Linked DNA regions of Diceros bicornis minor. The protein of the gene in region 3 interacts with the protein of the main gene of each other region in a pairwise test. Links are inferred from orthologs where the notes say so. Each region holds a gene or a part of one and is shown on either strand. Other genes may lie near its edges.

Region 1 (7,891 bases), on a different chromosome or scaffold from region 3:
TTTACCAACCTCTGCCAGTCAAAATCTGAGACTCAACTAGAGAGAGGGGAGAAAAAAGCAGCTTAAATTATTGACTAACTTTTTGCACCAGGAAAGTCTGACGACGGATCAAAGCCCTCTGAACAGCTCCACCAGAAGCCCTCCTGACCCAAAATGCCCTTCTGGGCTTCCACAGTTGGGCCGTTGCAGGCCAGATAAGCAAGTCCAGTCGGCACTCCGTATCCGAGGGTTCCACCTCCGTGGAGTCAACCAACCACAGATCGAAAGGCCTACGATGGTTGCATCTGTATTGAACACGGACAGGCTTTTTTCCCTTGTCATTATTCCCTAAACAATACGGTATAACACCTATTTACACAGCATGTCCATTGTATTAGATATTATAAGTAACCTAGAGATGATTTAAAGTATACAGGAGGATGTGTGTAGGGTATATGCAAATACCAAGCCATTTTATATAAGTGACTTGAGCATCCGCAGATTTTGGTATCTGCTAGGGTGGGGGGTGGGGTGGGGTGGGTTCCTGGAACCAATGGCTCTCAGATACCGAGGGATGACCGTATCAGCCCAGAGTCAGGGGCCCAGGAGGAAGGCTGCGTGACCGAGATAACATGCGCAGGGCAGCGGCCGGGCCTGCCCTGTTGTATACGCCGCTGACCCTCCTGCGTGCCTGCAACCAGAACTTCCAGCTCACAAGTCAGAGAAGCCACTGGGCTATTCAAGGGAATACATGCAGACAGGAATCTATTCCTCCTGCCCCTCAAAGGATTGGTCTTAACATTTCTGCAAGAGACCAGGCATTATAAGAACCATCACAGCTCCTGTATATTAAGTTCTGCAATTCCTTTTACTCTCAGGGGAAAATTAAAACCCCACTGGTAAATCTGCTAGTGCAAGGCCTACAAATGGCCAAAATAATCACAGCGGCCACTGTTTATTAAGGACCTACTGTGTGCCGGGTGCCAAGCTTGCTAGAGTCTAAATAGCTCTTGTGAGTGTCCTCTTCAAAGGTCACCTCCCCGGAAAGGCCTTCCCTGAGACCCTGGACAAAGAGCCACGGGTGTCTACGTTACTGCCCTCACGGAATGGGTGCCTCTCCAAAATGCCCTCATTTGTCGTCTACTTGTGTAACCGCGTCTGTCTTCCACGCTTCGGTAAGCTCCGCGAAGGAGGGACCAGGCTGGCCTCGCTCTCCGCCACGGCCAGCGCCTGGCCCTGTGTCTGGCACAGAGTGGCTGCATTAGTTGTTGCTGCATTAACTTCTCGGCCCCCACTCTGTGTAGCAGCAGTGAGAGAACCAGGTCTCTTGACCCCCAGACCCTGGTCTGCCAGTGCCCGTGGTGGGAATCAGAGATGTTTAGAGGCTAGAGGTCCGTGCAAACCACAGAGGCCTGGGCTTGGAAGAGGCCAAACTCCAGACTGGACACAAGGATATGGTGGCTGCAGGCTACAGTCAGCTCTGGAGCTGCTGGGATGGGAGAGCAGGTAAACTTGGCCCAGTGCCCGGGAGATGGAGTTCACTGAATCTTCACAACAAACCTATGACATAAGTCCAATAAATACCCCCATTTGACAGGTAAGGAGACTGAGGCTCAGAGAGGGGCAGCTACTTGCCCAAGGTCACACAGCTAAGACGAGACAGCGCCAGCATTTGAACTTAGTCCAAAGAGTGGCTCTGGGACTCAAGACACCTGGGTTCTTTTAAGTCCTGACTCTATCACTGATGCTGTGTGTCCTGGGACAAGTCACTTTGCTTCTCTGGGCCTCATCCTTCTCCTCTGTCAAATACATTGACGGAGTTGGTGGACTTTGTCTGCCGAGGGGCTTGCTAAGAAGGAGCCCCCAGACTCGATTCCTGCAGCGAAATTCGCCCTCAGCTAGGCCTGTCTGGGGTGGTGCTGGGGCATCACACACTTTCCACACCTGCCCAGTCTCCTCTTTCTGAGGGCAGGAAACTGAAGGGAGAGTCAGAGGACCCTAACTCCCCACAGTGTGATACCAGGCTAGCTGCTTCACTCGCTGCACCTCGATTTTCTCATCTGTAAACTAGGGGCCGTAACGACACCCAGCTCAAAAATCCGTAAATATTAAGAAATCAATAAATATTAGCTCTTGTTATAATTACCGCCATCAGCTTACAGAGCTGTCGGGAGGGTCTGATGAGACAAGGCACAGTCAGCGCCTGGCATACAGTAAGTGCTCAATAAATGCTCACCATGATTATTTTTTAGGGTAAACGTGGAGCCTGTGGAATGCATTCCTACCTCTTCACTCACCACAGAGAGGTCCCTGTGTGTCCTTCAGTGGAGGCCAGGTGCTAATGCCAGCTCTGCCCTCATTTGCTGTGTGGCCCTAGGCAAAAGACTTGACCTCTCTGAGCCTCGATTTCCCCATCTGTATAACAGAGAAGGTTCCTAGCACTTCCACCTAGTCTGGTCCCTAGAGGACTAAATGAGCTAATCATATAAATTCTGGCTACCCTGTTTGGGGCACCCGGTAACAGCCAGGCACTCTGCTAAGCAAGTCCTTTGTACACAGTGCCTGGCTTATGATAAGAGTTACTCTTTTCCAGGCTGAGCCCCTCTGAGAAGAAGGCTGGGGAAGGACGATGAGCACTTATTGGCCGCCTACTGTGTGCAGGGCGCCTTCCTCATCCCCCACCTCCGGAATCCTCCCGACAGCCTCGCGAGGTCGGCGCTGGGATGACCCGGTTTCCCAGATGGGGAAACCGAGACTCCCAGAGACACCTACTGTGTGCCAGGCCCCCGGGACCTCTCGCCGCCCTCGAGACGGGAACCGCGAGCCCCTCGTCCCGGGGAAGGCGGAGGCCGAGGGTCCAGCCCGGCCGTCCCGCCCGGGGCCAGGCTCGGGCCTCGAACCCGGGGCCGGCCCGCAGACCGGCGCCCCCCGGCCCCGCCCGCTCGCGCCTACCTGATCCGCGGCCGGGCCGGGCGGCCGCGCAGACCCCTCCGCTCACCCCGGCCCGAGTCCCGGCCCGGCCGGTCCGGTCAGCGCCGCTAGCTCCGCTCCGGCCGGCACCTGCGTCCGGACACCACCCGCCGAGCCGACGGGGCCGCGGGCCAATGGCGACCGCCTCTCGCCCGCACTGGCCAATCGCCGTGCACGTCCCGCCCTGGGAGGCGGGGCCTGAGCGACGGGGACGTCCTGGGCCGCACAGGCCCCGCGGCGCCGCAGCTGCTGGCTCCGCCCCTGCCGCGTCCTGGCCCCGCCCCCAGCCCTGACCCCGCCCCATCCCGGCACGGGGCACGAGCGGGCCTAGTAGCGCCACCTGCCGACGACCAGCGCTTGTTGATAAATAAGAGCGTTGTGGAATTCAACGTGAGGCCCGGCAAAGGGATTTATCTGTCAGTGTTCATCACCTCCCTTACGCTTTTCCTCAGTCCTGGGGGAGGGAGGAACCGTATGATCACGTTTTACAGAGGGGAAACAGAAGCGTAGAGAGGTTAGGGGGCCGTGGAAGAGCCTAAAGCCAACATCATTATTCATCATTCATTTATTCATTCGTGCGTGCAATAGATTCATTCATTAGATGTCACAAACACCAATAAGAGGGCCTGTTTTGAGCCAGGCACTGTGCGAGGAGATGGCGACACAATGTTGAGTGAGACAAATGTTGCTGCCCTCATGGACCTCAATCTAGGGAGGGAGACAGACATTAAACAACCAATTATGTAATTAATTATTAATTACAAAGGTGATAAATTGTAGCAAGTGAGGGGGACATATCATGGAATAATATGGAAAGTGAAAAAAATATTTCCTCAAAGAAGAAGCAATTGAACTGACAGTTGAAGTGTGAGTGGAAGTTATCTGGGAGAAAAGAGGGGAAAAGAGTCCTAAGCAGAGAGTTCAGCATGTGCAAAGGGCACGAGGGGGGCTTGAGAATTGTCTCATTATTCCTTTCTTCCCCTGGCCCTGCCTGTATTGAATATATAGATCAGCTCAATTCCCTCAGTTAAATTCTGTTGTGTTGTACTGGCTTATATTTTTCGAAAAAGGAAAGATAAATCATAACTTTTTTAAAACATTACCTCTAGAGGGAAGAAGTAGGATGCAGGGGACGGGGATAGAAGCTAGACCTTTAAAAATATATCTTGTTTTATATATTTGACTTTACAACCTCGTAAATCTTCTGTATAATTATAAAAAACTTTTAAATGTAAAGATATCCCTAAAAACAAAAATAAAATAAAACGAATGAACCTGTGTATCCAGTTGGTGACAAACAACACAGAGATGAAATTCTAGTGACTTTAAAACACAACAGTTTGACTGTACATACCACTACTATAATGGTGGTTGTGGTCTTAAATTGGTGTTCTGATCTTCTTGCATATTTAGTATGGGATAAAGCAAAGGAGTAATTATGTTGGTGTCAAGAACTGAGATTTTCAGAGGGAGTGAAAGAGATGTAAGGTTGATTATGTTAAATTAAAACCCTGAGGTCTTGAATTTGAATTGGGAATACCATGATATATTTTATCTTTATAAAAAGCAAACATTTCCTAGGTCTGTTCATCAAAAAAGTTCCCACCAAAATAAAGACCAACCTCATAGCAATAAGCACTCCTTAAGCCCAGATTATGGTCTCTAAATACCATTTCCAATAGAAAGAACCAGGGAACCTTGAGGAAACAGCTGATTCTGGGTCTGGGGCAGAAAACATACAGATGAACCCGGCACGTCTTTTTTTTTTCTTTTATGGTGAAGAAGATTGGCCCTGAGCTAACTAACGTCTGTTGCCAATCTCCCTCTTTTTGCTGAAGAAGATTAGCCCTGTGCTAACATCTGTGCCCATCTTCCTCTATTTTGTATGTGGGATGCCGCCACAGCATGGCTTGATGAGTGATGCATAGGCCTACACCTGGGATCCGAACCTGTGAACCCTGGGCTGCTGAAGCGGAGTGCAATAACTTAACCGCTATGCCACCAGGCCGGCCCTTGGCACGTCTTGATACACCAGAAATTACTGGAGTTTTCAAAAACATTACCTAGTGAGGTAGTCTCAATGGAACCAACTGGAAGAAACTCCCACTGGCCACGAAGGAGACAATTTGGCCTTTAATAACGATACTGATTGCAGTAGAAAAACATGTCAAATGGTTAAATCCATGCACTTGGGTTCTTAAAAATTCTTATTTTAAAATAATATCAAATTTACATAAAATTTACAGGAGAAAGACACAGAGCTCCCATTAACCCTTTGCCTAGATCCCCTAATTGTTAACGTTTCTGAATCCTTGAATATAAGGTAGACACGTGGTGTCTCATTAAGCTTTAATACTTTAGTGTGTATTTCCTAAGGATAAGCACAGTCTTCCACATAATAGCAGTACAACCTTCAAAATCAGGAAATTCCTATTGATCCAATATTACCGTGTAATTCCCAAATCCCATTCAAAGTTTCCAATAAAGTCCTTTAAAGCTCCAGCATCCATCCTGGATCACACGGTGGATCACATGGTGTGTTTTGCTGGCTAGTTCAGCCTCCTCCAGTCTGGAACAGTTTCTCTGTCTTTCCTTGTCTTTCCTGACTTTGATACTTTTGATACTTCAAAAGATACTTTTTTTTTTTAAAGATTTTATTTATTTATTTATTTTTCCCCCAAAGCCCCAGTAGATAGTTGTATGTCATAGTTGCACATCCTTCTAGTTGCTGTATGTGGGACATACAGCATGGCCGGAGAAGCGGTGCGTCAGTGCGCGCCCGGGATCCGAACCCCGGCCGCCAGCAGCGGAGCTCACACACCCAACCCCTAAGCCACGGGGCCGGCCCTCAAAAGATACTTTTGAAGATGCTAGTTATTTTGTAGAAAGTCTCTCCATTTGTGTTTGTCTAATGTTTCCACATGATTTGAGAAAGGACCCACAGAAGTGATACTGTGTTCTCAGTGTATATAACAGGTGGCATAGGATGTTGATTTCTTTCACTACCGATTATGCTAACCTAGTTAAAATGGTGCCTGCCAGGTTTCTCCCGTGTGAGTTAGTACGCTGCACTTGTCAATAAGTGCTTTATGGGAAAATACTTTGAAACTAATTAAATAACCTGTTCCTCAAAAAATCTTCACTCACCAGATTTAATATCTGTCAATGACACTGGCCTGAACCAATTTTGTTGCTGTTGTTGGTTTAAACAAAGAGGGTTTTATTTTTATTTGCAAGAATTCTGGAGGAGGATAGCTGCATTGGCTTGCTCAAATGAAGATAGGCTCAAAGATTCTGAGATTATCTTGATGTTTTTCTCACAGTAGCAAGATGGCTGCTGTGGCTCCAGGCATCACATCCTCAATCAAAGCAAGAAGAAGGGAGGGGCAGGGCAATGTTAGCCAAGACTGTCTCTTTGATCAGATAGTGATTACCACATGATGATTGTTCTCATTCCATCTTTGAGCACTTCCTTACTTACTGGCTCAACAAGATGTTCCAGGGTGGATTTTCTTTTTTTTTTTTTTCAAATAGTCCTTTTTTTTTTTAACAATTTTTTATTTATTTACTTTTTCCCCCAAAGCCCCAGTAGATAGTTGGATGTCATAGTTGCACATCCTTCTAGTTGCTGTATGTGGGACGTGGCCTCAGCATGGCTGGAGAAGTGGTGCGTCGGTGAGCGCCAGGATCCGAACCCGGCTCGCCAGCAGCGGAGCGCGTGCACTTAACCGCTAAGCCACGGGGCCGGCCCCAGGGTGGATTTTCTTCAATTTGTACCTGCCCCAGCTCTAGAATCAACATTTCTCCAAGGAGGCCTGATTTCTTTTAGTGAGGAATGATATTGAGAAACTAAGATCTGGGTCCCAGGCATGCTCATTGCTACCACAGTATCATTAATTCTTGCTTCTCTCATTGTAATACATATGTATATATGTACCTATATAGAGACATTTATCTATCTGTCTGTCTGTCTATCCATCTGTCTTTAAAACCATGAGTGGCTTATTTTTATTTTATTAAAAATTTAAAAAATAGGGGCCAGCCCGGTGGTGCAAGCAGTTAAGTGCGCGCACTCTGCTGCGGCGGCCCGGGATTCACTGGTTCGGATCCTGGGCGCGCACCGATGCACTGCTTGGCAAGCCATGCTGTGATGGTGTCCCATATAAAATGGAGGAAGATGGGCATGGATGTTAGCCCAGGGCCAGTCTTCTTCAGCAAAAAAAAGAGGAGGATTGGCAGATGTTAGCTCAGGGCCAATCTTCCTCACAAAAAAATAATTAATTAATTAAAAAAATAACAATAAAAGAAAAAGAAAATTGACAAGCAAAGGAAAGAATTAAGTATTTATGCTGACCTATACAATCTGTACCTCGGGGTAACCACATAGACGAGGGGAAATTTCTCTTTATAGAAGTATTCCAGAAATAAATGTAAAGGGAATTTCTTTTTCTTTCTTTCTTTCTTTTTTTTTTTTGGTGAGGAAGATCAGCCCTGAGGTAACATCTGATGCCAATCCTCCTCTTTTTGCCGAGGAAGATTGGCCCCGGGCTAACATCCGTGCCCATCTTTTTATACAGGTCACTGCCACAGCATGGCTTGACAAGCGACGCATCTGTTCACGCCCGGGATCCGAAGCTGCAAACCCCGGGCCACTGAAGCAGAGTGCGTGAACTTAACAACTACGCCCCTGGGCCAGCTCCAAAAAGGGAGAGAATTTGAATATCACCATTTTGTAACTCCTAATGGATTACGAATCTGAGTGATGCTCAGGAGCATCTGTAAACACCACAAGTCAGAAACACGCTGACGGGATCTGCCTCCTAGGGTATTTGCATGGCGCCATCTATGAAGTCTCAATCCTAAATCTGATCATCCTCTGGGTCTAAGTAGTAATTTACAGGAAACGCAGGGGAAAAAAGGACACATTTTAAATATCCATAGG
Region 2 (7,546 bases), on a different chromosome or scaffold from region 3:
GTGCCCCACAACCTCACTACCCACCACCCTGGAAACCTTAGTTCCTGGGTAGGTCAGAGAAGGGTATCTCAGCTTCACCAACCAGCAGGCATTTGCCAGCTCTAGCCCCTTGGGTTTATTTATAGGCCAACAGACTCAACAGGTAGCAGCCTCTCTGCCCCTTCACTGGAACTTCACTGTCCATCCTGGCTCAGTCTGGAGTTCTCTGCAGGGTTCTTGCTCTCTCTCTGATCATACCACCGATTCCCCAGGCTCATGGGTGGGGCAGTCTCACTCCCTGAGAGGGGTCTTACATGGTCAAGCCCTGCACACGCTCAACTGACTCTCGAGGCTTGGAGGGGCAGACTCTGGTTTTGGGCAGTGCTGACCCAAGCAGAACTGTGAGGTTGTCAATGCTTGTCCTCTCATCCCATCCCTGGGTGGCTCTCCCCTTTCTTTAGGCTTTTCTCCTCACTCTGACTCTGTAGGGGTCCCCTATCTTCCCACCTGTCACTTTCTTTTTTTTTTTTTTTTACAAATTGAGAAGCAGTTATTAAATATACAAAAAGTAATATCAGCCATATAAGGCATAAGCAAATCATTAAGAACACTTTGAATTGACATTTAACAAAAGAGGCAACGAAAATCATCAACAAGATTATTTTAAAGTTCAAGCTAACATAAAATCAATCAAATTCAAATTACAACAGCAAAGGCATTAATTACTTTCTCCAAAATTGGCAAAGATAATTAAAATTATCATATTCTATGCTGGTTAGGTTAGAGTGAGTTAGATACTCAAAATTGTTGAAGTTGAGGTTTCATTTTGGTGTATCTTTTCTGGAAATAATTTGGCAATTATTGCCAATTGTACATATATCTTTGTACCTAAAAATCACAGCAGACTCCTGGGATCTCTGGCCTTACAGATACCTCAGCACCTTAGTTAGGACTCTGATGACTTCTAGCTCTGCTGAGGACATGTCCACATTACCTGTCTGAGAAGTATTCATCTTTATCTGTCTGACTTATCTCACTTATCACAATGCTGCCACTTTCTTTCTTTAAAACCTTAGAAAAGGATCTGAGAGGCCCATCCATATTAAGTTATAAATGACTGGATGGAGGAGACTCAGGATTAAGTGCTGGCGAACTCAATGTCCAGAATCTACCCTTGCGGCATCCAAGCCGTAGCTCCTGGCTCTTCTGCCGTAGATGGGGAAGGAGGGGGAGCCCTGGCTCTTGACTCAGACTATGTGGATACATGTCCTGGCTCTGTCATCTACTACCTATGTGCTTTTAAACAAGCTATTAAACATCTCTAAGCCTCTGTCTCCTCATTTATAAAATGGGAACCTACCTCATAAGGTTATGAGGATTAAAGAGAAAATGCACGTCAAGCGTCTGGCACATAGCACACATAGCATCTGGCACATAGCACACAATAAGTGTTAGCTTTCTATAATAATAATAATAAACATAAGCTATGATTATTATTATCCCTGTCCTGCTGATCTTGGATATTGAAGACTCAGTGCTATAAGACAAAGGTCCCAAGCTAACCTTGCACTTCTAGGACCAAGAATGCCTCATCCTCTAACTCGCCCACCTCCTTTCTCTTTGAAGGGGTACTGTTTACTGTACGGAGGGGATGCTGGCCCCGGGTTGAAATCATATTTACTGCTGTGGTTCATCTGACCTCTGGGTTTGGGCTACATGGAGAAAAGACTTCTCTGTGGTCTGGACAAAACCACTATCTTCATTAGTCCCAGGAGAAAGGCGAAGAAGAGATGGGAGTGAAGAATTGGTGTCCAGCCTGCCTACATGCCACCATTAAAATGTGGGACGCTAAGTCCCCTCTCTGTTTGGCTCCAGGTAATCTGCAGGCTTTGTAGAGGAGGCAGATCCTCTGATTATGGAGAATCTTCCTGCCTTCCTGCCGTGAAGAAGAAAGGGTTGTGGGGGAGGAGATGGAGCCTGAGATAAGTTCTCCGTGGGCTCTCGACCAGGCTGTCTATACTAGTCCACTGAGACATATGGCTGTCCTGCTTTGCTTCCTGAGAGGCAGATATTGGGACTTATTACCCAAGTGGGGAATTGGAGTAGAAATGGCTCCTTAGAAAAGGGAGCCTTCTCAGACCCCTAGACCCTCACACCTGGTGGGATTTGTTGTGGCACAGCCGAGCGGAATCACACCCAGCCTTCCGGGATGTCTTGACTGTTCTGATTTGCTTAAACACAAGAAGCCATGTGGGACGGCTGACTGATGGGGATGGGCCATAGAAGAAAAAGGAACTGGCCCCTGTGTAGTTCAAAGAAAGGTCACTGGGCCACTGCCCAGGCTTTCTGGCATCTGTGGGGTGCCTCTTGGCGTCGTGACAGAGCCCAGTTGGAGCTCCGGGAAGAGGTAGTACTGGCTGGGGGAAGCTCTCCTCACTGCCGCAGGGAGAGATCAGAGCACTGCCCTTCACCTGACAGTGGTTTGTTGCTGCCTTTCCAAGTCTCTGTTCCTACTTCCTGGCTGTGTTTGCAATGAATGGCTTCCTACATGGGTCTGGGCTTCCTAGTCCAGAGCTCTCAGTGTGAGCTGAGGAGAGAGGGACCTGGAAAGGCAGCTTCATGTTATGGGGGTCCCTGCTTTGAGGGGAACTATGAGAGATCATTGAATTTATGCCCCTCTCGCTGGGTAGCCTGAACTCTAAGTCATTTGACTCACCTGTAATCTAATCCAATAGATGGAACGTAGAGTGATGGAAGCTGTACCCTTGCGCCGTGGCTAGTGCCCCTGGAAACCAACACAGGAGGCTTCTTTGGTTACCCAACCCCCAGCACTCTTAAACTACGCCATTCACCCCTGTGTCTCCCTCTTCAGCCTGGGGAAGCTTGGATGACAGAGTCTTCTGCCCCACCCCAGAATTAGAGCTCCCAAACCTGGATGCAAAAGCATCCTCCTCAGTTACCTTGGGTCCCAGGCTCCAACCCAAGCAGCTCAGGAAAGCATTCCAGCTCCTGGGCAGATCTTGGCTCTGGTTTCAGATGGGGCAAGACAGCAGCTGTGTAAAGTACAAGCTCTCAATCCATGGCTCTGGGCCCCCTTAGCATTTCCCTTCTTGGTACTGTCTTTTTTTTTTTTCGCACAGCAGCCTTGCTGAAACCGGAAACAGACAAAGCCACAGTGCTTGCTCACCCCAGTTCCTCTCTCTTGCTCTCTGGCACGGTCTGAGGGGGCCCCTGAACCCTTGAGGCCTCCAGCGCTGGGCTCAGGAGCTCCTCCCATCATTGGGCACCCCAGCCACCCTTCTTCTTGCTATTGGGTTGGTCTTAGCTCGCGGACAGTTTCCAGTCAAGATTCCTTTCCAGGAGCGGACAAGGATGGGCCTCTGGATCAGATTCAAACCTTGCAGTTTCTATGAGGGGAAAAAATGCATTTTTGACCTTGAAGAGATGTTCCCTGTGTAGCTTTTCTTGTGTGTCAGGTAGTTCTCTGTGTAAGGATTTTCCTTTTGTTGCCTCTTCCCAATCCTGGTATTGTAAAAAGTTTCTACTCTTCTAAAGTACCTGGTGTCTTTTTCAGAATTCTGGAATGAGGCCAGTTCTGAATTTGCTCCTTTCTGGAGCAATGAGGAGGAGGTGAAAAGGTGGTGGGTGGGTGACTGGGGAATGAAGGGAGCAGCAGCAGGCAGAATCTTATAAAAAAAGTTTCCTAGTCAATTGGACTAGGAAATTTGGGGAAAAACTAGAAGGAACTGATCTTTGTGCATTAAAAAGAAACCACTACAAATGATATTGTCAGGAAATTCCCAAGAAGTTCAGAACAAGATAGTGCAGAGAGAATTGGATTGGGGTAAGTTAACTGAGTAGTTTTATAACCTTGTGCAATTCACCTTGTCTGCATGGTCCACTCATTATGGTAGCTGGATGATTTATATGGCTCCTATGAATTCTAAGGCTTGACATGTGTGAGGCGTGCAATGAGATTTTTAAATAGCTGTGATAGGATAACAGTCATTAACACGTGGGAGTATGTCACAATCTTCTTCATTGCCTGCTACTTCCCCCATTCTCTGAGGAGAAAAAGGGCAAGGAGTAGGCAGGGAAAAGCACAGAGGATGGATTCTCAAGCACTAGAACTGAAGGCAAATGACGTTCCCTCAGGAAGAGAGACAAGAGCCTAAGGTCCTGTGTCTGGAGCTTGGTATATGGTGATGGGAATGAGTAGAAGACAGAGGGGTTAGGGAGCCCAAGGTGGTGAATAAGAGAATTTTATTGGCTTAGAAGACTAGTGAGAGGGTCCTGGGAGTTTAGGGCACCAGAGCATAGGAGAGGACAGGAGGTTATAACAGGAGGTACTATGGACCAACTATTTGGAATCCATTAAAAGTCAAAAAGAAGTGTGTGCAAAGATCAAAATGCCTTTTAGGGCTATGCACTCAATGGGATACCACACCCACTTTAACTGGGGTTTGGAGAGGTTAACAGTCTGCTCAAGGTAACACAGCAAGTGTTGGACCCAAGTTTGCTTGACATCAGAGCCTGAGCTGTTAACACTATGTTGTGAGAACAATACAATTAATAAGGTTGTCATACTTATCTATCTATATGGAGAGAAAGAGACACATACACACACAGAGAAAACTAAAACTAGAGAATATACCTTATTTTCAAATGCCCATGAAGCGTCAAAAAAATTGACTGTATTGATCATAAAGCAAACCCCAGTACCTTAAAAAAACAAGTTAATCTGTTACAGCAGAATTCCCCAACCATAGTACAATAAAATTAGAAATAAATAACAAAACTGGGAAGAAATAAACACTTCAACCTCTTGGAAAAAAAATTCTCCTGGTTTACTCTTGAAATATAGAGGAAACCAAATCTGGAATTAAGCATGCCTTGAGGGGCCAGCCCCGTGGTGTAGCGGTTAAGTTCGCACGTTCCGCTTCAGCAGCCCCGGGGTTCACAGGTTAGGATCCCAGGCACAGACCAACGCACCGCTTGTCAAGCCATGCTGTGGCAGTGTCCCATATAAAGTAGAGGAAGGTGGGCACAGATGTTAGCTCAGAGCCAATCTTCCTTAGCAAAAAGAGGAGGATTGGCAACGGATGTTAGCTCAGGGCTAATCTTCCTCACACACACACAAAAAAGAATGCCTTGAAAACAATGCTAACGAGAACATTAAGAACAAAATCTGTGAGGTATGGCCAAGGCATGACCCAAGGGAAATTCATAGTCTTAAATATTTTCATTACTTAAACAAGGAATATTAAAAATAAATTAGCTATTTATTTTCAAACAAATTTCTAAAAAGTAGTCAGGAAAATCAAGGAAAGAAAGTGAGAATAAAAAGAAGGTAAAAAGAGAAAGCAATATAATAAGTTAGAATTCAGAGCAGAATTGATAAATAAATTCAATTATCTATTGAATACCAGGAGCTAGTTCTTGTGTCTGTATGTGGGGAAAGGTAGAAATACCAATAGAAAACAAAATCAATGAAATAAACTACCAGCTAGCCAAATCACTTTAAAAGAGAGAAAGCACATCTGTAAACATTTATGAATGGTACATGGAAGTAACTATCATACAGTGGACATGAAAATACTTTTACAGTCATTTGTGTAACTAAGGTAATATTTTGAAAATCTGGATAAAATGAATTTAAGAAAACTTTATTTACCAAATCAGTCTCAAGTAGAGATATAGTCTAATCATCAGCCTGCCTCTCCCTGATGGTCCCCTTCCTCTAGCATAGGCTAGTACAGAGGAGGATTTAGATCAGGCACCTCTTGAGCTGGTCACGTGGCATTTACTGGCCAGCACTCTGTACTTCTTACCATTTCCAGGTCCACTGGGACCTTGGCTCTCTTTATTGATGGTCATATCCTGGAACATCAGGACATGGTCTCCTTAATAGATTCGGGTCCTCTGTGGGCTCCCATGAGGAGTAAATATAGGATAAGCATCACTTTGCCTTACAGCTCTGTTGCTTTGCTCTTCACAGCATCAAACAAGTATGTATGGGATCATCAGATTTTATTTTAGGGTTGGGGTAACTGAAGGGAATTCCAATTGTGAAAGGAAAACATTTAAACTGTGTGCTACTATGACTTATCCCATACTCTAAGAAATAACACCAAGAAGTCAAACTCTTTATGGAGGTCCCCACATGGGAGCTATTAGTTCTAATCTTGTTCCCCCTCCCACCCTACTGGATGACTCCCCTATTCATCTTTCGGGAAATGGCAACCTTGCCCATAAGAATTGTTTTTGCCTTAGAATCCCCCACTACACTCCCTCCAACATTTTCTCAGCAATGCATTCTTCAAGTCTAAGTTATTCATTCTAGAACAATGCCGCAGACACTGTTAACAGGATAGCCTGGGGTGGCCTTGTCACCCCAAGTTTTGCAGAAGGTGGCAGGAGGGGTTGGTGAGGGGAACTTGGAACTCCAAGTCCTGCAGAGTGGCTCAGGATAGGCACATTTAAGTCTGTTCTTGTTCAACTTCTCCCCAACCAGTGACTTGCAGACTCGTCTCTTTTTTTTTTTCCTGGGAAAGAGTCACCCTGAGCTAACATCTGTTGCGAATCTTCCTCTTTTTTTTTTCCTTCTCCCCAAAGCCCCAGTACATAGTTGTATATTTTAGTTGTAAGTCCTTCTAGTTCTTCTCTGTGAGCTGCCACCACAGCATGGCTACTGATAGACAAGTGGTGCGGTTCTGCACCCAGGAACTGAACCCAGGCTGCCAAAGCAGAGCGTGCTGAACTTTAACCACTAGGCCATCAGGGCTGGCTCTGTAGACTCTCCTCTTTAGTCTTTCAAGTGTCTACCTGGCAACTGTTTAATCAGATGTCCACACAAACATCCCAAGGACAAATATTCCTTCTCAGAGGTGATACAGTCTAAACTCATCAGGAAGAAGATAACTATTTCCTTAACTCCTACATTTGCAAGGTTGCCTCTCTACAATGGAGTTATGACTTCACACTTGTGGCAGGACAGAGTTCTCAGTTCTTTTCTTCTCTTTGTTGCTTTGTGTCATCATTGTTGATAGAGGACTTTTTACTATAATAAAACCTCAAAATTATGCTGTAACAGATTATCAATATTAGCAGATTTGTCTGTTGTACAGATGCTAAGAATCTGAAAGGCCTAACCCTAAGGCACAACTAACTGCACATCTGTTCTTGCGGGTCCCAGCATTGAGAAAGACAAGTTACTTTGCATCTTAGGCTGCTGAGAAGGGTGGTCTTACCAGCTTTGACCTTGAAGGGCCCTGATGGGATGAAACTTCAGGCCTGAGGGAGGGGGTGGAGTGGTGTGTGTGTGTGTGTGTGTGTGTGTGTGTGTGTGTGTGTTATAGAACAGACAGAACAGGAAAGAGTAAGGTAGACCAGAAAAAGGAGGGAGGGCTTCCCAGGTATTCATCTCCATTTGGACCAAAAGGAAAAACCATGTGTTAATCCTCAGAGCAACTTAAGTCTTCTCGTTTCACCTTCATTTCAGTTTGTGTCCCCTTGGGCCTGCCAGAGTATAAAATAAGGCTTACTTCTGAGTCAGATATCATAATGG
Region 3 (7,177 bases):
TTAAATGGACAGTGGGTGTCAAGAAGACCCCAAGACTATAAAGGGGGAGTCGATCAAGAGTCTCTCCTAGAACAATTTCCACACCATCCCCTTGATTTAGGTAGATTGAGATCTGAAGGACAAAAAGTTTTTTGAGAGGTTTGAAGGCAAAATAAAGAAGAGTGACTGGCAGCTGGAGTTTGTTTGTGATAACATAGTTTGTTTTTAGCACATCAATATGATAAGAATTAATTTAACAACATCTGCAAGTCAATGATAACTTACTGTGGTCACACATCATAAGACAGGTTTAACTGTTCAAAAACAGTTGTCTTGTTACTTTTTTGTTTTTAATTTTAGAAACCCTCTATTTATAATTATATACATTGTAGAACAGAAGACTTTTATGCAAATTTGATGGAGATTAGGAAAATCTATGAACTGCAGCAAATTCCAGCTTCTCTCAGTTAATTACTTCAAAAGTGTTATTTTCATTTTCATGTACTTTTTAAGGCACACTACTTTTTTTTACTCAAATCAGCATAATAATATTATTATTTTTTTTGTTCTTTCATGTTGTGGTTCTCTCAGAGGCAATAACAGTTCCATGAATTTTTTTACTCAAAAATAAATAATGAATAAATAAATAGAATTGATAATTTTCTTAATTCTAAATTTCTAAATTTAATTTCTAAATTTAATATAACGACTCTATTTTTTAAAAGTGTACTCCTCTGGTCTTAATAGGTAACTTTAATTAATCCAGAGATTATACCACCACCACCGCCTGCCACCTCAGTCTCAGGAGCATGGGTGGCTTGCTGGAGCCTGACTTGCTAAAGCAACTTGATTTGGCTTCAGTCTTTGGACACAGGAAGCTGATTCAATATTTCTGGTTCATTTTAATTCCCAGGAGGTCTCTGACCTGGGAGCTCTTTTTCTCTTTGGGGGTGGAATCATTTCAGCATTTACAGTAACCTATTCCCTAGAACATTCAGGTCTCCCTCCTCCCCAACCATGTTGCCTTCCCCAGTAACCTCTGCAACAGTGTAATAACCATGTTTCTAAAACTTTCCCTCACCCACAGTGAATGTAGTTTAAAGGATTGGCTACAGAATAACAGGACTCAGGTGAATCCCTAGAACAGTCAGGTATCCCTCCTCTCCAAAATGGCTGCCTTTTCCCAGGATCCTTTGCAACAGTATAGCTGCCATTTTTTTTAGAACATTCCCTAACTCACATTGAATGCAGCTTACAGGATTGGCTACAAAAAGGCCAGGTTCAATTGATTGGATTTCCTAACAGCCAGGGAGCACAGGAACCTCACTCGCCTTACCCTTGTCCCAACCCTGAGATATATATATATACACTTATATATATTTATATTTATATATATGTAGAAATATATATAAAATATAGATATATATGTAGAGAAATATATATATTTTTAATAGAAAGTGTCATTTCACACACACTAGAGTTTTACAGAGTAAAGTACATATATGTACTCCCCAAGCAATACGTGCTTCAGGCATTCTGGACTCCCAAGGTTGAACTCCCAGCCTGTCAAATGATGGCCCTGACTTCTCGCTGGACCTCCCTGCCCTCGTTTACCTACCTGGTATACAGAAGCTTCCTCCGCCCCCCAAGTTAACATCTGGCCCTGCTCAACCTACCATCGTCAGAGTGGAGCCCCTACAGCCAGTACTCCCAACACCAACCCAGTCACCATGTGCCAAGGGCCCCATACAGTACCCCTTTCTTGGGCTGGGTGGCAGTCATATTCCAAACCAATTGGCCTGTAGCAGAGCCAGCAGCCTTTGGACCCAACTTCTGTTGCCGCTGAGAGGTACCCAGGGACCGGGACCCACACTCCATTATTTCTAGGAAAAATAACAGAAGCCCCCAGAACACCCATAGAGGCTGTACCAAGGCTTCCTTGGCACAGCACATACCAGAAAGGATAGGGTCCCCAAACTTCTTAGGAATCATTCAACACTCATTCACTGCTGTCCACTGGTCAACCCCAGGCCTCAGTTTGTTCATCTGTTTAAAAGTTTAGCAAGTATTTGCTGAGGGCAAAACTCCGAGCTAGGTTACTGGAGAAAGAGCAATGACTAAGAGACAGCATTGCAGAAATCAAGGAACTGATTGTGTGTGTGTATAGGAGGAGTGAGGGGGCAAAACAGAAACTAATCCATCAGTGTAGATTCAGATCAAGAGATATATGCTTCTAAAATGATAAAAATAGGGCAAGATGACGGAAGGAAGGGGCTACGTCTAGAAAAGTTGGAAACAACATTGAGGCAGAGATGTGAAAGAGAAACAGAGCCCATCCATGGAAAATCTAGGGAAAGAGCATCCAGGCAGAAGGAACAGCAAGCACAAAGGCTGTGAGGAAGAACCAGTGTTGGGGTGTCACAAGGACAAACATAACTGCAGTATGGAGTGGGGCACCATGCCACAGCATGAAATATGTTGAGTGACCTTGATAGGATCCTGTAGATCGTGGTAAGGAGTTTGGATTTCACTCTAAATGGCAGAAGGCACCGGAGAGTTAGGAGAGAGAATTGATCCGATTGATCTTATAAATTAAGCCCTCCTAATGTTCTGCAATAGACATAGTGGTGGCTTAGACGACGGGGAGACCAAGGGACCACACACGTTGGTCCCATCCTACTCCCTCAGGGGTGCAAAATGCTCACATCATCAATCCCTTTCCCCCTAGCTCCCCTGTCATTCAAGGCACAAATACATGCATATGCACACCAAGGCACAGACATGCACACATACCCACACATACATGCAAATACGTACATGCATATATATGAGCGTCTGCCCGGCCACACATGCACATTCTCCAACACACACGCACAGGTGTAGACACCCAAGGGAAGGAACATTTCAGAGGAACCTCACCTGCTATCACCAGGTGCTCTTGGCCTTGCCCACGGCTTCCAGGAGCCAGTTCTTCGGCCATAGACATTTCCATCTCCTCCTTGATGCTAGGGGGGCCTCCTGCCATCACAACCAGTTGTTCACTTATAAGCTATGGCCAAGGATGCACAGGGAGAAGGGCACAGAGGAGGCACTTGGAAAATCAGCTCTTTGAGGGGTAGGAGATCAAGGAAGATATATCTGGACATGGGGGTGGAGCCAGACTCCCTCTTTGGGCTCAGGCCTTGGACCCAGCACCTTCTGTTCCTGCTGTATCTTGTTGGCTGGTTTCGAGGCCTTCTCCCTGCTACTCTGTAAGCAACTTAGGAGAAGAGATAAGGTTCAGAAACTTTGCCTGTGAGAACTACCCTGGCTTTCAGGTCACCTGATTTTGCCCCATTGTGGAGCAAGTGGGGTCCAGCCTCCATCATTTCTAGAGAGATGCAGGGACTGGTGCAGGACCCCAGAGTCAGTCAGTGGTCAAAGCAGGGTTAGATCTGAAGCCTGTCATGGCTTCTGCAAGCCGAGCCCTAGCTACCAATCCCAGCCATAGCGCCCTTCAGAAGGCATCCTCTGCAGAGCCTGCCTCCCCAAATCCAGAGTTCCCAGGAAGGGGAGATGGGCTTTTGATGCCTTTGGTAAGCCTGAGCAGGAACCATGAGAACCAAAGGAGAGAGGGGTAGGAAAGAAAAGACCTGCATGCAGCCACTGGAGCCCCCAGCGTCCCCAGGCCCTACACCCCCTGGTCTAAGTCCAAATTCCTCCTCAGCTTCCCTACTGATTAGGCCACTGTGAGGGTCAGGTTTATGTGTTCACTTGGCCAGCCTACAGACCCCAGTTATTCCATCAAACACTAATCTAGGTATTGCTGTGAAGGTATTTTGTAGCTGTGGTTAACACCTACAATCAGTTGACTTTAAGTAAAGGCCATTATTAACTCTTGACAATGTGCATGGGCCTCATCTAATCAGTTGGAAGGCCCTCAGAGCAAAGACTGAGGTTTGCCAAAGAAGAAGAAATTCTGGTCAAGACTGCAGCATCAACTCTTGCCTAAGATTCCAGCCTGCTGGCCTGCACTGAAAATTTTGGCCTTGCTAACCCCACAATGGCATGAGCCAATTCCTTAAAATAAATCTCTATATACATACACATATGTACATGTACATGCATATGCATATACATACATACATACATATGCATATACATACATACATACATCCTATTGGTTCTGTTTCTCTGGAGATCCCTCACTGATAGAACCACCAAAGGTGACCCCTCAGCTCTTGGGAACAGCCCGAGAGCCCCTGGGGGTAGAGGAGGCTATTTCTAAAAGGAACCAAGCACAGCTGGGACAAGATAGGGGGAGGAGGAGGAAGAGGGGAGGGAAAGAGGAAGAAAGGAAGGAAAGAGTGATGGAGAGGAAAGGGAGGGGCCAGGACTTGCTTAGAGAGGGTGGTATGGTCTGGGCTGCCTGTCTCCCACCTTGGCCCCACCTGTCCAGCACTTGGACCAAGCTCTTCAGAGCAGAGCTGACATAGGCCCGGCCTGCATTCCTGAGGGCCCCAAAGAAGCCCTTCCCAGCTCCAGTGCAACAGCTGCTGCGATGAAACCCGAGCTTTCCGGAGCGCCACCTTAGGAGCAGAGAAGTGTGCTCTGTGGCAGTTAGGAGCCTGGGAAGCAGGAGCCATTGCTTTCTGCCAGGCTAGTGTTGCCAGATTGAGCAAATAAAAACACAGGACACCAATTGAATTTGAATTTCAAGTAAACAGCAAATAATATTTTAGTGTAAGTGTGCTCTGTGCAACATTTGGGACATACTTACACTAAAAAATTATTCATGGTTTATCTGACATTCACATTTAACTGGGTGTCCTGTATTTTATCTGGCAACCCTGTGCCCTGTCCATCCTTGCCATGATCTCAAGATTTGACCTTGAGCAAGTCTTTCCTTCCTTTGGGCCTCAGTCTCCCCATTGGACGATGGAGTTAACAATCCCCTCCCTAAATCGTGGCTGAATTGTGAGAGCACTCAAGGTAGTAGAGCTGGCAAGACCTTCCATTATTGATCTCAGATCAGATTCTCCACTGACTGCCAACTGTCCTTGACTAGTTGGGGCTTCCTGGGCACTGGGACACTGGGCCCAGGTACACGCAGAGGCACTGCCCTCTACTGGCAAAGGAACCCACCACCTAAAGTCAAGCAAAGAGGGTGACTTCCTTCCCAATCCCTATGCCCCCAATGCTAGCCAGAAACTCGGGCATTTCACCACCTTAGCATGCCTGTTTCTCTTGGATTGGGCACCAAGGATGGCTGGGTGGTGGGAGAGAGAATTTGCTGTGTGACTTTGAACTTGTCCCTTAGCATGTCTCTCTAGCATGCTAACCTTTTCCCTCCAATATTATAATTTCCTTCTGAAATTGCCCCAAAGTCTCTCCTCAAACTCTTCAAAAAGGGCCCACTGTCTGGCATGCCAACTTCGGGGGCCGGAAGGGCTGGAGAACCCTGGACACAGAAAGATCTGCCAAGCATTATGGGGGCCCATGGCCAAGTGAAAGTGGTGGGCTGCAAAGACCTAGACCCAAGTGGAAGGCTCCCAGAGAAGAGGACAAGGGAGCCTGAAGTGCTTCCCACCCAGGAGGTTAGACATGCCTCTAGGAAGGGGAAGAAGGAGTCCAGAGAACATTGGGCTAAGATGTGTGTGTATATGTTTGCAGTGTGTTACACAAATGAGATCGTACATTTGAGGTACATGCTGTTCTGCAACTTACTTTTTTAGGTGAACAGTGTGCCTTGGGGATCTGCTATGTCAGAACAAATCTACCTCATGTCTTTTAAACACAGCACAGTATTTTGCTGCACAGCTGCACCCTTGTTTATGGACCTGCTCATGGATATTTTGGGTGTCTAGAGCTTTTCGCTTTTATAAACAATGTAGCAGTGAGCATTCCTGGACAGGCCTCTCTGCATACATGTGTAAATGTTTTTGTCCAGCAGGTGCCTAAAAGTGGAAATGTGGGGTTCTAGGATATGTATGTTGGCAATTTTGACCAATATTGACAGACATTGTCAATGTCCCCTCTAAAGAGGCTGTGCCAAGTGGGACTTCATCAAAGGGAAGAAAGTGCTGATCTCTTCACAGCTTTATCAATGGAAGATATTATGAAACTTTCTAAAAGGCATCATTATGCTGGGTGAAAAATGATCTCTCTCTCATTGTTGCTTTAATTTATATTGCTTTAATTACAAATAAACTTGAGCAATTTTTCACGTTTATTGATCTTCTGTATTTCTTTCCTGTGAACTGTCTGCTGGAGGGCTTGGATATTTATTAAAATAAGAGCTGTTTTATTAACAGAAAGAGATGGGGAAGACAGCTCTCCCTCCCTTCGAGATAAGCATCTCCAAAGAAAACATATCATCTTTTTCCCTAAAGTTGATTGTGAGCACACAGCCTCAACTGGGGACCAAACAAACCTAGTTAATTGCACCCAAGTTTGGGCTGAAATCTAGAGGGCCTCCAGCTTCCCACAGAGTAGGTGTCCAACTTGGGCTGTTGCCTGCCTGTCTGACTGTCTGCTGTTGTCTTGTGTCTGTCCGTCTCTCTCCCTGTCCAACTACCTGCCTCCACCAAGGCCTTCAAACCACTGGCTTCTTCCAGCTGTTCAGCCAGCTGTGGACTCGACTCAAATTCCCGACCAGCTTACGGTTTGACAGTCCTGTCTGTGACCTGCTCCCACCTCTCTTGCAAGCAGCAGTGGGAGGTGGCAGGAACCCAGGCCCAGGGTCAGTACACCTGGGAGTGACTCCTAGCCCTGACACTGGGACATCTTACGCAAGTTGCTTCCCCTGCCCTGAGCTTCAGTTTCTCATCTTCACGTGGAAGATTGAGCTAAAACCCAGTTTCAAACTGTTTCATGGTTTCAGGGAGGTACACTGGGGCTACCTGGGCTTCAGGGCAGACTCCAGCTTCTCTTCACCCAGAGCAGTTCCGCTTTTATCGCTTTCTTATATTGGGGTTCTATGGAAGAGGCCATTCAAAGCCAATGAGTGCGATGGTCTGCTGCCCCCAAGCTCTGCTCAGAGCCCAGTCTCAGGCAGCTACAGTCCCAAGCCCAAGCGAGCAAGCCTGATTTTGGCTGCAAACCCAGATCTTCCAGGCATCTGGGAGCTTCCCCTCCACTTGCTAACGAAACTTACAAACCTGTAAACAATTCTCCTTCCTGCTCCTGGAAGCAGCTGGTACTGAGGTCATCCCTGGAG
Region 4 (6,781 bases), about 2.3 Mb from region 3:
ATAAAGTGGAGGAAGGTGGGCACAGATGTTAGCCCAGGGCCAGTCTTCCTCAGCAAAAAGAGAAGGATTGGCATGGATGTTAACTCAGGGCTGATCTTCCTCACACACACAAAAAAATAAATAAAACAAGCAGCTTCCTGGAAGAAACGGCGGCAGCCAAGCACATGCTTTGCTTCCTAACCATCTCCCACCCTTGGACACTGGGGTTGGCATCCGCTTGTCCCGGGTAAAAGATCCACAGCAGGCTGTGCATAGGCAGCCTTGCCTGCACTTGGGGTGGGCTCTCCACGCTCCATGGTGCCATAGTTATTCTCATGATTACCAGAGCTTTGAGTTATGAGTCAGGGAACATACCCCATCAAGCAAAGCACCAATGTGCTTTGATTCACGGGTAGGATGTGATTCCTAGGCCAAGGCCAAAAGGGGGAACCCACGAAGCCAGATGGTGATTCTGGAGACCAAAGCTCAGAGGCCCCGAGCCAGGGGAGCCCAACCCTCTCCCAGCAGAAAGAGCCCACACTTTTAAAAATAAATGGTCTTTTTATTGTGTGTCCACGAAAACAAAGTCAGGGTGGCCTTTGGTTAATCCCCCCAAAGAGGTGACAAGGAGGCATGCAATGACAACAACAACCACATTCTCCTCTCCAGGAGAAGGGTCTTACCCTCCCGGGCCCTAAGGATCAGAGGCAAGTGGGGCCAGGAGGCTCCGGAGGAAGGCCTGCCCAGGCCCACTATGCCATAGAGGGCCTGGGCGGGCTGCCTCCCTCTCAAAACAAGGCAGGACAAGGCAGGGGGAGCAAGCACTGCCCTGGGCCAGGCCCAGCACCCCCAAGCTAGAACACACAGAGAAGCACCCCCCCACAGCCCCCCAGCAAACACTGCTAATGCAGTCAGCCAGGACTCCCTCCCGAGAGCAGCTGGCCCCGAAGCCAGACCCTCAGGGCTCCATTCAGAAGGGGTTGCCATCGTCAGCCTGCATGGAGTAGTAAACAAAGAGCAGGAAGGCTGCAAAGACCAGGAACAGGAGCATCTGGCCCCAGAGCGGGACCTGGCAATCCTGGCCCAGAGCCCCAGGGGCCTGCTTTTCTGGCCGGATGGCACGGCGGGTGAGCCATGAAGGGTGGGGAGCTGAGGATGAGGACACAGGAGAGGTGGAGGAGGATGTGGGGTAATAGGACAGGCCCAGGGAGCTTCTGGAGATGCTGGAAACGGGGCGGTAGTGCGCGATGCTCTGGTAGGCACTGTCCCGGCCATACATGGGGCATTCCCTGAGGCAAAGAGGGAGCAGATGGGCCAGGAGGGCCTGGGCCCAGAATCAGCCCAGCCCCTGGCCCTCCCTACCACTCACCTATCTTTACTCTCCTCTTCAGAAGAGAAAAGACTGTCATCACGCACCTATAGAAAAGAATCAGGATGAGGAGAAAGGCTGGCAGGGTCAGTGTGGCCCTGTCACATCCCTCAGTCCAAACTTCCCCTGCTGGCCTATCCCGCCCATTGCTTAGAGGCCCAGGCCCTGCCATACTCCAGAACCCTTCTGAGTTCCTGGCCTTCATTCCCTGGGCCCTGGCCACTTGCTCAGTGACTGTCCTGGCTGCCTGCACCCTACTTTCTGCCCCAGGATTCTCAAAATAAGCTCAAAGCTAGATCCAAGACCAGGGTGCAGGGCATGTCCCGTATGCTCCAGTCAAACAGTTCTGACAGCCCGCCGAGGGCCCTGACCAGGCAGGTGTCTGCTGACCCCACCTCTCCCTGGAGGCTTGGGAGACACCATTTGCCCCCTTGACTTAGCCAAACCCAGCTCTGACCCCCTCAGGTTGTACACAACTACAGACAACCCGACAGCCGGCTCACCTGGTGGTGAAAGGTGTCAGCGTCTGAGAGTGAAGCCGAGGGCTGGCGGAAGCCCTTGGACGTGCCCACAGACTCAGGCTCCCCGTAAGTCCTGGTGCTCAAGTAACTCTCCTCATAGTAGTCATCATTATAGCCTTAGGAAGGGGGCAGCAGTAGCAGAGCGGGCAGCGGTATCCCCGCCTGGCCCGATGGCCCTAATCTGAATCCCACTTTGGGGCCTGTGACATGGTTTCTCCCCTCCAGGGCTGCTGAGGGACGGCGGGGGTTGAGGTCTCAGGTTCTCCCTGATACTGGGGTCCCTGAGGGAGTGGAATGAAGGTGTCAGGGTGCCCACCCCACGCCTGCCTTACCCTTGCTCTGGTAAAGTAAGGCGTCCTCTTTCTTGGGCAGATCGTACATGTCCGAGTCCACGGAGGCTGAATCTAAGTCTGAATGAGGGGGCCACGACCATTTGCCCTCAAGGCTCCCCTCCCTTTTTCCCGTGTCCCTCCCGGCCAGCGTTCCTGCCACACCCTCGCGACTCTGTTCTCCCCGTCGCCCAAACCCTGTCCCCACGGGCCGCCAGATGGGGCTCTGGGTCGGGGGCCTCACCCGAGAACCGGTAGGAGAAAGACGATGTGGAAGAGTTTGGAGGCGACAGCCTCCGCCTTTGGGTCTCGTACTCGAAGATTTTCTTTTCGTAGAGCTTGCGCGTGGAACCTGGCCAAACACGGGGTGCGGGGCGGTCAGGGGGGCGGGCTGGGAGCCCGGGGGCAGCGCGGGGAGGGGGTCCCGGAAGGGGACGCGAGGGCGGAGCGCGGGGAGGTGGCCTGCCACCGCGTACCCACGACAGGCCCGTGTGGAATGTTGTACTGGCGCAGCACGGCAGCCAGCTCGGCGTCCGACAAGACCGCGTAATCGTCCATGGTGCGCGGCTGAAGCCTGGGGGCGACTCGGGCCTGGAGACACAGACCAAGCTACGGCTGCCTCGGGAGCGGCTGCGCTCGCGTCACGCCTGCGTCCGCGTCACGCCTGCGTCACATTCGCGCCCTGGACGCTGGCTCTGCGAGCTGCGCGCGCTGCGTGGGGCGGAGCCAGGCCGCGGGGAGCAGCCGGAATAGACCGGTCCGATCGTGGGAGCGGGAGGGGCGGGGCTGGCGAGCCCAGACGTCTCAAACAGGCAGGATTGGCTAAAGGCGAAAGAGGGGCGGGGCGTGCGCGGGAGCCCAAGCGGCTCAGACCGGTCCGGCCGTGGGAGCGGGCGGGGAAGTGTGCCCGGGGGAAGGGGTGGGGCCGGCGAACCAGGAGACATCACTCGCTGGTGCTTCTGGGCGAGAAGTGAGGAGGGGCGGGGACCGCGCGCAAGGGGAATGGGCGTAGACCTGCCGGGACTTGAGAGCGGGGTGGGGTTGGCGAGGCAATATGTCACCCGCTGGCGTGTTCCGGCGAGAAGCGAGGAGGGGCGGGGTCTGCGCGAGGCGAACCGGCAGAAACTAGCCAGGATGTGGGAGCCGGCCAGGGCCGGCGCGTTTGGGGTGCTTGCTCTCCCTGAGTCACGTGGGCTTCACTCCGTCCCTACGGCCTCCGCCACTCCGCCCTCACCCCCGGCCCGTTCCCAGGCTCCAGCGCCTGGGGTTCCCCGGCCACGCCCCGAGAGCAGCGGGAAAGTGCCAGATCCTAAGAGCGAGTCCTTGGACAGCGCGGTCCCGGGCCAGGCGCCCCTGCGAGCGCTTTGCGCGCGTGCGCCACGCCAGGGAGGCGGCTGCCGGCGGGGCCCGGACCCTAAGCCGCCCCCCAAACCCCCTGCCGCAGGCCGGCCGGTGGCTCTGCACGGCCCTGGCCTGCGCACCTGCACCCGCGGGTCCCCACCGCCTCCCTCCGTCCCTCCACGCTCCACCGGGAGGAAATGGGGCAGTGGCCCAGGAGGCCGCCAAGCACTCCAGGAGCAAACAGCCTTGGAAGGGGCCGGACGTGCCAATAGGCACTGGCACGGGGCGCCGTGTGATGCGTGCAGAGACAGCGAGTGTCCGCCTGACCCACCATGACGTCCACCTGGGGCACTGGGGGTTTCCTCTCCTGTCAGAATGGCCCCTGAGCTTAGTGTGACCCAGGAGGCGGCCAGGCAGGGTCAGGAGGGCCCTTCCAGACCCACAGGGACCTGCTCGGGGGTTCCAACAAGCTTTCGCAGGCTCTCAGCACCTGGGTCTGGGTAGGCTTCAGGGTCCTGGTAGTCCAGAGGGGGCCCTGAGGACAGGGGGGCCAGAAGACTGAGCGGGGACCATGGAAGGCTGCCATGGCCTGCCAAGGTGGCTGGACCTTCACTAGGAGTTGGTGAGGGCCTTGGTCAGTAAAGAACTGTCCTGTGGAAATTGGAAAGGAGGTGATAACCATGTTCTAAACCAAGCCAACTGATAGAGTATGGGGCCAACTGAGGTGCCCCTCCCCAGGCAGGCCCAGAACTGGGAGCACGGGGTGATGAGGAGCTGTCCCTGGTCTCAAATGACAACAGGTGATAAGGGGAGAAGAAGAGAGGATGGCTCTGCTCAGACCCAGGCTGGCTGCCTAGCTAGTGAGGGTCACAGAGCAGTTCTCCATGGAGGTTTGCTCAGCGGGTGGAGAAGAGGTAGCCACACAGGGAGTGGTGAGGAGATGGGGTCCTGGTTTGACCCCACACAAAGACCCTCAGAAGAGTTGCTGTGGGCCAGGTTTTAGAGTAAAGGCGAGGCCTGCTCTGTCTCCCGGAATAGGAGGAGGAGGTGTGTGGGTCCCCAGACACGTGCATGGCTGTAGAGGGGGGAGAACCCTGGGCACAGCAGGGGCTTGCTGCTTATCTTTCAGAGCAAGGAGGGAGATGGCGTTTGGGCTCTGGGCTGCTCAGAAGCTGCCTCCTGGAATTTTGAGTTTTGGCAAGATCAGACTCCCCAGCACCTCTCCAAGCCTTCTGTGGTGCTGGCCCCTGTCCCGGAGGCCCAGTCCTCCCCCATGCCACCCCTCCCCATGTGGATCCAAGTTGTTTCCTTATGAGGTCAAGGAATTCTAGGTTTGCTTTCTCCCCAAGGAACACCCCCTCTCCCAGCACCTGCCTCGGCACTCTGCCTTTTATGACCCCCCCGTTGCCCTGCTATGAGGTCCCACCATGGATGGCCCCAGGAGACTGAACTGCAATGGTCCCCTGCGCCCACCCGGTTAGCACCTGGAGCCCAGGTCCAGCCCCATCGCAGTGCAGACCTGTCCCAGACCACCAGAAACCATGCGAGCCCTTGCCCATCAGTGCTGAGAGGCCTGCACCATTCCATCACACAGAGGGGGAATCAGGAGAGGGAGAAGGCTTGCCCAAGGGCCCGATTCTCCCATGGATGGCATGGGGGAGTACCTAGTCCTCGGGGCAATGACCTGGCCAGTGTGGCCAGCGCGGGTACCGTGTCATCAGAGGGCCTGTTGGGGGAATCTGTGGCCTCCAGGGGAGTCTTCCTGGGAAGGGTGGGCAGAGTTAAAAAAGAAGAGGAATTTCTCTGGAACCACAGCTGAGGTGAAAAGGGTTAGGAAGCCACAGATTCCAAGTCAAGAATAAGAAGACAGTTTCTCTTTCAAGGATGGGCAATGGCTCCTAAGCAGTACATAGTATAACTTGGAATCCCAGCAAGATTGAAAGTTATAGGGGAAAATAATACCAACATGAATACATTTGTCAGCATCCATGTCCAAGGAGCCAGTTGTTCACTGAGCTATTAATGTTTTCTTTAAGGTCAGAATCTTAATACATTAGTACAATACAAAACTTAACTTTTCTCTTCAAGGATGTTAAAGATCCTTTGAGTTTCGCTTGGTATTTGAATGCTTTGAAACATTGCTCAGATAGTAACAAAAGTCATAAGATGATGATTATTGTGAAAATTAATATGTGGAAGATTGTCACAATTACAATCAATATAAAATGGGGAGTGGTCAGTGGACCAAATGCGTCTCCAAGAATGCCTTGTGACCCACCCTAGAACACAGCAGTTCATCTTGGTACTGCTGGCACGACCAGTTGGGGATTCGGCCTGCCTTAGCAGCAGGAATGTAGCTGATTCTAGCGGTTTTCCAAAACCTTCAACACAGGAGAAAAGGTCTTTAATTGATTAGGATCTTCACCAGGGAACAGCTGGTGCTATACAAACCTTCATTCCCCTTAAACCTGGAAGAAGTAGAAACCAAGAGCTGCGCATGTTTTGTGTGTTTTGGAGTGTGTGTGCAGTGGGAGGGAGGCAGTAGTGTAAAGAGAGGATTTAAATGGAGGTGGGGGCCAAAGATCCAGCCACATGGCCACCGCCTTGTTTGTGCCCCCCACCTATTGTACCCCTGGCTCCGACTGCAATGCCTGTGGTAGGTGGGTCTCCCTCCTTGAAGAACAGCCACCTCATGGACCTGAACTCAGGCCACTCACCTATCAAGTGACCATAACCCACTGCTCACCCCAGCAGTGGGGGGGGGTTCCCACCAGAGGGAGCAGGGAGGGACATGGAGCCCCTGGCACTGCTAGGAGATCCCACTGTGAGTCAAGGTGGAAAGGTCATTGCAAGCAGAGCTAACAAAGGCAGCAGTGGCTGCAGGGAGGCCTGGAGGGCAATCAGCGCCTTCCTGTCAGTGTTCAACTGTAGATGGCCAAATGCATTTAGCAGGTGTAACCAAATTTCTTCCTGCCTCCCTCCCTTCTTTTCTTTCTCTCTTCTAATGAAGTAGAGTAGAATAGAAAATACCAAGTGCTTTTTGGGTAGTGAGAGAAAGTCTCCTTTTCTGGATCGTTTGTCTCAGTTATTTCTGTCAATCTGTGTATGTGTGCTTGCACAGCTGGGCTCAGGATGTCAAATGTAGTTCTTATTGGGGCTTGTGGGCAAAATGTTAAAGTGACACTGCTTTATGTGGCCTTCCCCAAGGAAGTGACAATTGAGCTACATCTGAAGCTACCAGG

The links.
Region 1: the proteins of FATE1 (region 3) and MARCHF2 interact in binary tests that used the Homo sapiens proteins (3 or more experiments, as listed by UniProt). The two-hybrid records come from large-scale screens. The link is inferred for Diceros bicornis minor from reciprocal best matches to the Homo sapiens genes FATE1 and MARCHF2.
Region 2: the proteins of FATE1 (region 3) and TRAF3IP3 interact in binary tests that used the Homo sapiens proteins (3 or more experiments, as listed by UniProt). The two-hybrid records come from large-scale screens. The link is inferred for Diceros bicornis minor from reciprocal best matches to the Homo sapiens genes FATE1 and TRAF3IP3.
Region 4: the proteins of FATE1 (region 3) and EMD interact in binary tests that used the Homo sapiens proteins (3 or more experiments, as listed by UniProt). The two-hybrid records come from large-scale screens. The link is inferred for Diceros bicornis minor from reciprocal best matches to the Homo sapiens genes FATE1 and EMD.

The regions. Positions count from the first base shown.
Region 1 is NW_026691615.1:299,658-307,548, forward strand, and holds the start of MARCHF2 (E3 ubiquitin-protein ligase MARCHF2), read right to left. Parts: upstream 3,008-7,891; 5' UTR 2,932-3,007; intron 1-2,931. UniProt on the Homo sapiens protein: E3 ubiquitin-protein ligase that may mediate ubiquitination of TFRC and CD86, and promote their subsequent endocytosis and sorting to lysosomes via multivesicular bodies.
Region 2 is NC_080743.1:75,798,917-75,806,462, reverse strand, and holds the start of TRAF3IP3 (TRAF3-interacting JNK-activating modulator), read right to left. Parts: upstream 3,022-7,546; 5' UTR 2,940-3,021; intron 1-2,939. UniProt on the Homo sapiens protein: Adapter protein that plays essential roles in both innate and adaptive immunity. Plays a crucial role in the regulation of thymocyte development.
Region 3 is NC_080781.1:136,029,628-136,036,804, reverse strand, and holds the start of FATE1 (fetal and adult testis-expressed transcript protein), read right to left. Parts: upstream 3,005-7,177; coding exon 2,899-3,004; intron 1,863-2,898; coding exon 1,735-1,862; intron 1-1,734. UniProt on the Homo sapiens protein: Involved in the regulation of endoplasmic reticulum (ER)-mitochondria coupling. Negatively regulates the ER-mitochondria distance and Ca(2+) transfer from ER to mitochondria possibly implicating it in the regulation of apoptosis.
Region 4 is NC_080781.1:138,282,718-138,289,498, forward strand, and holds EMD (emerin), read right to left. Parts: upstream 2,923-6,781; 5' UTR 2,757-2,922; coding exon 2,675-2,756; intron 2,551-2,674; coding exon 2,443-2,550; intron 2,280-2,442; coding exon 2,202-2,279; intron 1,986-2,201; coding exon 1,852-1,985; intron 1,396-1,851; coding exon 1,349-1,395; intron 1,269-1,348; coding exon 950-1,268; 3' UTR 521-949; downstream 1-520. UniProt on the Homo sapiens protein: Stabilizes and promotes the formation of a nuclear actin cortical network. Stimulates actin polymerization in vitro by binding and stabilizing the pointed end of growing filaments. Inhibits beta-catenin activity by preventing its accumulation in the nucleus.